2 linked regions of the Bombyx mori genome follow. Each later gene encodes a partner of the first gene's protein in a complex. Links are inferred from orthologs where the notes say so. Each region holds a gene or a part of one and is shown on either strand. Other genes may lie near its edges.

What was found.
Region 2: pre-mRNA-splicing factor syf1 homolog (region 1) and pre-mRNA-processing factor 19 share a complex: the UniProt entries of both Homo sapiens proteins name them as parts of the XAB2 complex. The link is inferred for Bombyx mori from reciprocal best matches to the Homo sapiens genes XAB2 and PRPF19.

The regions. Positions count from the first base shown.
Region 1 is NC_085110.1:13,376,746-13,381,126, reverse strand, and holds the start of pre-mRNA-splicing factor syf1 homolog, read left to right. Parts: upstream 1-1,298; 5' UTR 1,299-1,638; coding exon 1,639-1,677; intron 1,678-1,912; coding exon 1,913-4,381. Other genes in the region: zinc finger CCCH domain-containing protein 13, read right to left, coding at 1-329. UniProt on the Homo sapiens protein: Involved in pre-mRNA splicing as component of the spliceosome. Involved in transcription-coupled repair (TCR), transcription and pre-mRNA splicing.
Region 2 is NC_085116.1:17,076,592-17,081,128, forward strand, and holds the start of pre-mRNA-processing factor 19, read left to right. Parts: upstream 1-1,665; 5' UTR 1,666-1,674; coding exon 1,675-1,867; intron 1,868-2,113; coding exon 2,114-2,263; intron 2,264-2,754; coding exon 2,755-2,888; intron 2,889-4,537. UniProt on the Homo sapiens protein: Ubiquitin-protein ligase which is a core component of several complexes mainly involved pre-mRNA splicing and DNA repair. Required for pre-mRNA splicing as component of the spliceosome.

The sequences.
Region 1 (4,381 bases):
ATTTCTCCTTCGGGGCTTTGACCTGACCGCACTATAACAGTAGAATGCAATCTAGTCTTCCCATCATCCTTCACTAAACGTTTCTGATCATTGTCTTTATGAGCTGCGCGTTGTTTAGAAGGACTGATAAGAGTATGCGTAGAAGCAAATTTACAACTTTTGCCGTAAGCACAGCTGCCGTGTTGGGCCCACTGTCTACAATGTTCAGTTGTTTTTTTAGCACTTGATGATTTCTTAGTACCGAGCCGATCAAACACACTAGGTCTAATAGAGAGATCTTTCGTTTTCGGCAATTCAACAGATATTTTTCTTTTTCCTTGTTTTGACATTATAGTAGAAATACATTTGTATCACATTAAACTAAAAAAAAAGAACTAAAAAATAATCTTCTCTAACCGGCACGGTGAAGTCAAGTAAATTAAAGGTTTTATATTTTTTACAAAAAGGAATTGTACAAACATTTATTTATGGTCTATTATCTATGACAAACGCTATTATTTGGAGCGATTTTTTTCTACTAGTTTCTCTTAGTAGGCAAGCGGAATGTAGTTCTCGTTACATAAATTAATATTTACTTAAATCTTTGTTTAACAACACGTTTGCATGCAGTACGGCAATGGATGGCCATAATTCCTAACATAGCTTACAAGTTACAATCAGCTTACATCTCAAACTCAAATAATAAGCGTATTATCTATGATAGCTTACAAGGCCCAAGGCAAAAGCAGAAGCGCTTTTACACGTGGAGTAGATAGGTAGGGCTCACTAAATTTGGCCCCTCGTTTTTTGATTTTTGGATTTTTTTTATTTTTAATTATTTGTTCGTCGTTTGTTCGTTAATTTTCGAATGTAAAAATTGTTTGTTCGTCTTTTAATTATTTATAATTAATTAAACAAATGATCTCCCTTAAGTTGGGCCCCCCCTTACTAGATATCTTTATTTTCATCGCTCAGATTAATTAATTTTGATCAGTTACATTATTAAGCCGCACAAACTAATACTTAAATTAGTTATCTCACAAGTGTGTATAATCTATAGATACTTAAAATTTATGGTATAATCGGATCTATTCCGTTCTTTAATCTATAATCGGATTTTTGGCAGGAACGCGAGGAGTGAAATTGTGTGATTTGTTTTATTTTGTTTACTTAGTGTTTCTTCAAGTTTAAATGTGTAATAACGGTGGTTTATTAACTGTTTAATATCTGTGAAAGTGCACAAAAGTGGGAAAATGAAACAAAGCCACTGGACGTAACTTTTCGGGATTCTCCAAAAAGTCCACTGAATCAAAATTCTCAGTAAATGACCACCATTTTACTTAGATTATATTTCATCTCACATCATCTCATCTCATTTCATTTCACTCCATATTATGATTTTTCATAAAAATTAAAATATAAATTAAAATAAAACATGACCTAAAGGTCTTAGTTACCAGGTCATAAAATCTCTTAAAAAAATAAGGTACAATCTATGATATTGTGTGTCATAGATTAAACACTGAAGTGTGTTCCATAGATTATACACATAATATATTTGAGTGTGTTCTAAAGAAATAGAATTAAGCTAATTATTCAATTACTCAACTGTTTGAATTGAATTTATAGTACCTACGGTACATATTCGAAAGCTTTAGAATGCCTCTTCTAGACGGAAAAGAAATCGACATATTCTTCGTAAGTTCAAAAATATTTTTATAATTTACAATGCTTAGTGTGCATACATATTTACTTTTGCCGACATATGAAAATACAATCAACAAATATTTTTTTCAACCCAAATTCAATTAACAAAGAAACCTTAATATATCAACTGCTTTAAAAAATCTAACCAAAGCTTTTGTGGTTTTCTGGTACGTTGATATCAAACATTATTATCATATTAATTCAAATAAAATTGTTATTGTTACAGAGTGAAGAAGATCTTCCGTATGAAGAGGAAATCCTAAGAAATCCATTTTCTGTCAAACATTGGCTTAGGTACATTGAACACAAGAAAACTGCACCCAAACATGAAATTAATATGATATATGAACGAGCTTTAAAAGAATTACCAGGATCTTTTAAACTTTGGTATAACTATCTTAAATTAAGAAGAAAACAAATAAGAGGTCGCTGTATAGCTGACCCATGCTATGAAGATGTAAACAATTGCTTTGAAAGGTCTTTAGTATTTATGCACAAAATGCCTAGAATATGGATGGATTACTGTTCATTCTTAACAGATCAGTATAAAATAACTACAACAAGGAAAGCGTTTGACAGTGCTCTTAGAGCTTTACCAATAACTCAACATCATAGGATATGGCCTCTTTACTTAAATTTCTTGAAGAAACACAATATACCCGAAACAGCTGTAAGAGTGTTTCGTAGGTATCTTAAATTATGTCCTGAAGATACTGAAGAGTATATTGACTACTTAACTTCAATAGATAAATTAGATGAAGCTGCAGTCAAATTGGCTCAACTAGTTAATAATGAGAATTTTCAATCAAAACATGGAAAGTCAAATCATCAACTTTGGAATGAATTATGTGAATTGATATCAAAGAATCCTGATCAAATTCATTCTCTGAATGTCGACGCTATTATCAGAGGGGGATTAAGACGTTACACTGATCAGCTAGGCCACCTGTGGAACTCTCTTGCAGACTATTATGTTCGAAGTGGTCTTTTTGAAAGAGCCAGAGACATTTATGAAGAAGCTATACAAACTGTGACTACAGTGAGGGATTTTACACAAATATTTGATGCTTATGCACAATTTGAGGAATTAAGTCTTAGTAAAAAAATGGAAGAAGTTGCCAAGAAAACTAATCCAAGTGAAGATGATGATATTGATTTAGAATTGAGACTTGCCAGATTTGAGTATCTTATGGAAAGAAGGCTGTTACTGCTTAATTCAGTTCTACTTAGACAAAATCCACATAATGTGGCTGAATGGCATAAAAGAGTCAAATTATATGAAGGTAAACCCCATGAAATAATAGATACATATACTGAAGCAGTGCAAACTGTAGACCCTAAATTAGCTGTTGGTAAACTTTTCACACTGTGGGTTGGATTTGCAAAATTTTATGAAAACAATGACCAAATTGAAGATGCCAGATTAATTTTTGAAAAAGCTACACAGGTAGCATATGTTAAAGTAGACGATTTAGCTTCAGTTTGGTGTGAATGGGCTGAAATGGAAATCAGACATGAAAATTATGAGCAAGCCCTAAAATTAATGCAAAGAGCCACTGTTTTACCAAGCAGAAAAGTAGCATATCATGATGATTCTGAAACTGTGCAAATGAGGTTGTATAAATCACTAAAGGTTTGGTCCATGTATGCTGACTTAGAAGAGAGTTTTGGTACATTCAAATCTTGCAAAGCTGTGTATGATCATATTATAGATTTAAAAATTGCTACTCCACAAATTATTATCAATTATGGATTATTTTTAGAAGAGCATAATTACTTTGAAGAAGCTTTTAGAGCATATGAAAAGGGTATTGCCTTATTCAAGTGGCCTAATGTGTATGATATTTGGAATACATATCTAACAAAATTTTTAAAAAGATATGGTGGTTCAAAACTTGAAAGAGCAAGAGATTTATTTGAGCAATGTCTTGAGCATTGTCCCAATGAATTTGCAAAGTCTATTTTCTTATTATATGCAAAATTGGAAGAAGAGCATGGTTTAGCTAGACATGCAATGTCTGTATATGAGAGAGCTACTACTGCCGTTCTACCTGAAGAAATGTTTGAAATGTTCAATATTTATATTAAAAAAGCTGCTGAAATTTATGGAGTTCCTAAAACACGACAGATTTATGAAAAGGCTATTGAGACTCTTCCTGAAGAGAAGGCTAGGGAAATGTGTGTTCGCTTCTCAGAAATGGAAACTCGCCTAGGTGAAATTGATAGAGCTCGGGCAATATATGCACACTGTAGTCAAATGTGTGATCCTAGAATTACAGCTGATTTTTGGAACACTTGGAAAGAATTTGAAGTTAGGCATGGTAATGAAGATACAATGAGAGAAATGTTAAGAATTAAAAGAAGTGTGCAAGCCACATATAATACACAGGTGAATATGATGTCTGCACAAATGTTGAGTTCTGCAGCACAGGCAGCTGGTACTATATCAGATTTAGCACCAGGTATGAAAGATGGAATGAGAATGCTTGAAGCCAAAGCAGCTGAAATGGCAGTACAGAGTAAAGGCAACATTCTATTTGTGAGAGGAGAAACCCAAGGACTTAAAGAGAGTTCTGACAAAGTAGTGAATCCTGATGAAATATCAATTGATGAAGAATCCGATCACAGTGATGATGATGCTGAAGAGGATCCAATCCAAAAGAAAGATGTACCAACTGCTGTTTTTGGAGGACTT
Region 2 (4,537 bases), on another chromosome or scaffold:
CGCCGGGCCAGCGATCGTCGGCGCCACGACCACCAGCCCTCTCGATCGGCAGGCTGTCCGAAGCCCGCCTAGATGGCGCCGGTTTGAATGGGTTATCCTACGAAATACCCCGCTGGGTCAGAACCAACGTGGGTCGAGGATAGCCGGCCTTCTATCACCTGGATGCTCTTGCGTAAAACGCGTGCAGAGCAGCTTGTACGTTGTTTTCTTAGACCCCATTCGCCGGGCCCCAGACCGACATATGAGGGGGACCCGAAACACTTAGAGGGCCAGGGATTTGGCCAGATCCGCCTCCCTGGTCCCCGCTCGACGGCGGCGGGCTTGTGCGTCTCTCACGCGCCCCGCCGCCTCCTTCTGCCAGATGGTGCACTCGCAGAAGTCGAGCATCGCCTTCTAAGACTCGTCGTCGCCGAGCATCGATGCCACAACGCTCGGCAACGACAAGTCTTTTCCTATTTTTGCGACGAGGACACGTCGCCACCCCTTCCATGTGGGGCAGGCAACGAGCGTGTGCTCCGCCGTGTCCAAGTCGCAACCACAATGGTGGCAGTCTGCCGTCGGCCCGGCTCCGATCTAGTGCAGGAACTCACCGAAGCAACCATGCCCACTGAGCACCTGCGTGAGCCGGAAAGTGAGGCGTCCTCTGTCACGATCCACCCAATCCACAAGGACCGGACGAATCGCCTCGACGGCCCTACGACCAGCCGAAGGATCAGCCAGCCGTCTGGACCATGACTCCAGCACGGACCGCCGAGATTGGGCCCTTCGCGCTCTGACCACATTGGGGCTGGGACGCGCCACGCCCCGGTTACGAAGGTCAGCCCACCACTGATAGTCAGCGGCGAGCGCCTCCGCTTCCAGAACCCAAGGTGGCGTCCCAGCCAGTACACACGCCGCCTCAAAGGAGATGATGCGATAACCACGGATGAGTGGTATGGAGTGTAGAACTAATCCTCTTTACATTTAGGAGCTTATAAGATGTGTTAAGGATGTCAGCAACTTGAATTAATAAAAAAATTAGCTTTATTGGAAATGGACAACCTAGAATATTGTGGGAAGTTAAAATAATAAACGAAAGCATCAGATAGATTTTTTTTCTTAACAATTTAATATCTGCTAGGGAGCTTAAGTGGCGGAAAATCTAACACAATTGTTGTGTGGATGTTGTATTGTGTTAGATTCTTCTAAATAGTAGTTCTATAAATTCTCAATAAATATCTACTATTTCACGGACAGTTTATTTCATTTTTTACGGTTTGTGTTGGAGTTTGTATATTAAATGTAATGGCAGGCAACACTTGACACTTGATTAGATTTCGAATATTAGAATGATTTTAAATGTTTAAAAAACAGATCATTGTATTCTCCTAAGAAAATGTCATGACTTCTCATCTAGACACGGCAAGACAAACATGTAATAGTTTTGTAAAAAATATAAAGATAATAATTGTATAATGGTGTAAAAGTGTTCAAGCAATCTGCAATATAATTATAATGAAGCAGTTGTGTTTTTAAATAGCCCCTCATCACCTACAGAACCCAATCCCCTCAAATATAACCGTCCAACAGTTTGTCTCATGTCATTTAATTTTATTTTATTTTATTCAACTTCGTTTTGGTCTATTTCACTTTTAAACAGTAGATATGGCTTCAACCTTTTTTACCAAGTGGTGAATGAGCTTCATTCCCATTGCCTGTCTAACGGTCGAATCAAATAAAAAAATATCTATGGCGGTCACAAAACTCAAAAAGCCTAGAGTCGAAAGTTGGAATGGTTTTGTTTGGTTCCATGTAATTTTACGGCTCCGTGCAGAATTTTCAAACCTTTATAGTGATATCATAAGCAAAATGTCTCTCTATTGTGCGAGTAAGTTTTAGTTTAAATTCAGTAAATTGTAAATTAAAGGAGCGAAACGTATAAAGTATGTTTATTTTGAACGGATGCGTACCTGCCGGGCTACTAAAGTTTTTCATCAATTTTAGACAAAAGTTTTGATATTTGTATTTTAGAAGTCATTATTCCATTTCATAGGGTTTATTTCGCTATTTTTATGAATATTACAGTTTTATGAAAATTAACAGTTTATGTGAATAACCTAATTTATTAATTTAGTATCAAATGAAGTTCCCGAAGTACCAGTGGTATCACCTACGTCAGGAGCTGTGTTTGAAAGGAGAATCATTGAGAAGTACATAATAGAAAATGGCGTGGATCCTATTAACGGCAAGGAGTTGAGAGTTGAGGACCTTATTGAGATCAAAAGTGAGGAACCTTTCAATCATAAATGGCTTAAATTCCTCTAAGAGGTTAAGAAGTAATTATTAAATTATATAATAAATTAAACAATATCTTATCTACTTCAATACATAAGATATTAATTTTGACGAGTATGATAGACTCTGTAACATAGTGAGACCGCATAGTGAGACCGAAAACTCTTAAAGTACTTTAAATGTCTGATTAAGTAATGAATAATAAGTACAAGATTGTATTCATTTGTAGTCATCATAGCCCCAAGGCCACACTTTGTGTACTCATATTCAGCAAAGCAGCTAAATTGCAAGATCAAGTTATATACATCATGCAAGAAATAGTCACACAATTTTTTTTAAACAATATAATGTTATGAAGATTAGTGTAATAATGCTATCTTATAATTCATATGAGACAGCAAAACTTCAGCTTAACAAAGCCTAAAACTTGTCTCAATGAAAACTCAAGAGATAGTAATGAATAATTCATTTCTCAAATAGCACCACCTATAGTAAAGCCAAAACCTCCAAGTGCCACATCAATCCCTGCCACACTGAAAAGCATGCAAGATGAGTGGGACGCCCTGATGTTACATGCCTTCACACAGAGACAGCAGTTGCAGACTGCTAGACAAGTTAGTAATGAATATTTTTTAAATGACAAAGCTCATGTGTGTGTTTCAAAGCTGTAGAACAATAAATTATGTTTACCAGTTAAACTATTATGCTTATTGCCTACATATTAATATATTATGTATATGACAGATTGGCTGGTTCCATGGGGTTTTTAAAATGATGATGTCAGCGTTTCTGACACCATTTTCTTCATTGTTATCATTGCCTTCCATAGTGACACTAATTAAGATTCATTTTTCCAATGAATTCCATTTATTTAATTTCAAGTGTACAAGGATAAGAGCAGAGAATTCTGCCTCGTTCAACAGCTTGAGCTGGAATGTTTTGTGCGACAATAATCACTCCTATTTATACTAGAATAGTGCGAGTAGCTTAGTTATGAATTCTCTTGAATACCGTCTTAAACAGTTGTTGATATGTGTAACATTAAGAATATAGTCAACTTCAACTATTTTTAGTTAACTAAACAGTGACGTTGCGCCGACATATATGTTATAATGAATAGAGTACAAAAGCAGGAATTTAATCGAACTGTGATCTTGTCTGTCCAATCAATATAGTAAAAAATACATCCCTATTCATGTGCAATTGCGAATCCTTTATATGTTTGGACATATCATTCGTAATGAAAGCTCATTGGAATGTTTAGTGGTTCAAGGAAAAGTAGACGGCAACGCTCTCGCGGCCGATCATCCACAAGGTGAACAGACTTGATTCATCTACGAAGTGTTTCCTTACTAAATGTACACGTACCACCACAAATAGAGAGAGATGGAGAAGTCTCTCAAAAGCCGCAACCAAACATTAAGACATACGTAACCACGACCACTGTGCCAGAAGTGTACGACTGAGAAGAATTCATTTTTACTTTATTGGTTTAGCTCCTATTATATGTCCGTCATGACTATTGATTGTAGGAGTGGGTGATATAAATCGTATATAGATTCAATATCTATATATCGCAGCAATATCGTTGAATCCGATATCGCCCCGCACGAAATCTATATATCGATATCAGCCGATACACGATATTGCTCGATGTGATGCGCATCGCCATATCGCGATATCGGACCGATTCGTGAATCGAAATCTATATTTCGATATCAGCCGATACACGATATTGCTCGATGTGATGCGCATCGGCATATCGTACCGATTCGTTAATATCAGCAATATTCGTTTGGTTCGTATCGAATCGGCCAGAGTGAGTGAGCGCGCGATAGGGATATCATGTAATGAATGAAACAGAAATAGGCATTATCCATACAATTGTAAACCTTATATTTAAGTCCATATGTCTGTAGATTATTCTTAGCGTATCAGCAGGATACAATTAAGGAAAGAAGTTTCAACTTTCGACCCTAACTTGAATGCAGTATAGCCTATTTGCATCGTTGAATTTAATTTCACGCGCTTTGACCTTGAACTAGAATTTTTGGACAAGTGTTTATAAATACTTAAAAGTTTTTTGTGTTTGATTTTTAAAGTACACATTTTTCTATTTTTAGTTGAATCCAAATAATTGAGTTTATTTCTTGTGTTTGTATTAAACTTTTGAAATCTACACTCTTTTGGTATATTTTGTAATTTTAAATTAAGACACAAAATACTAAAAACTGAAAATAATGTAGCCAGTCCTAAGCCTGGT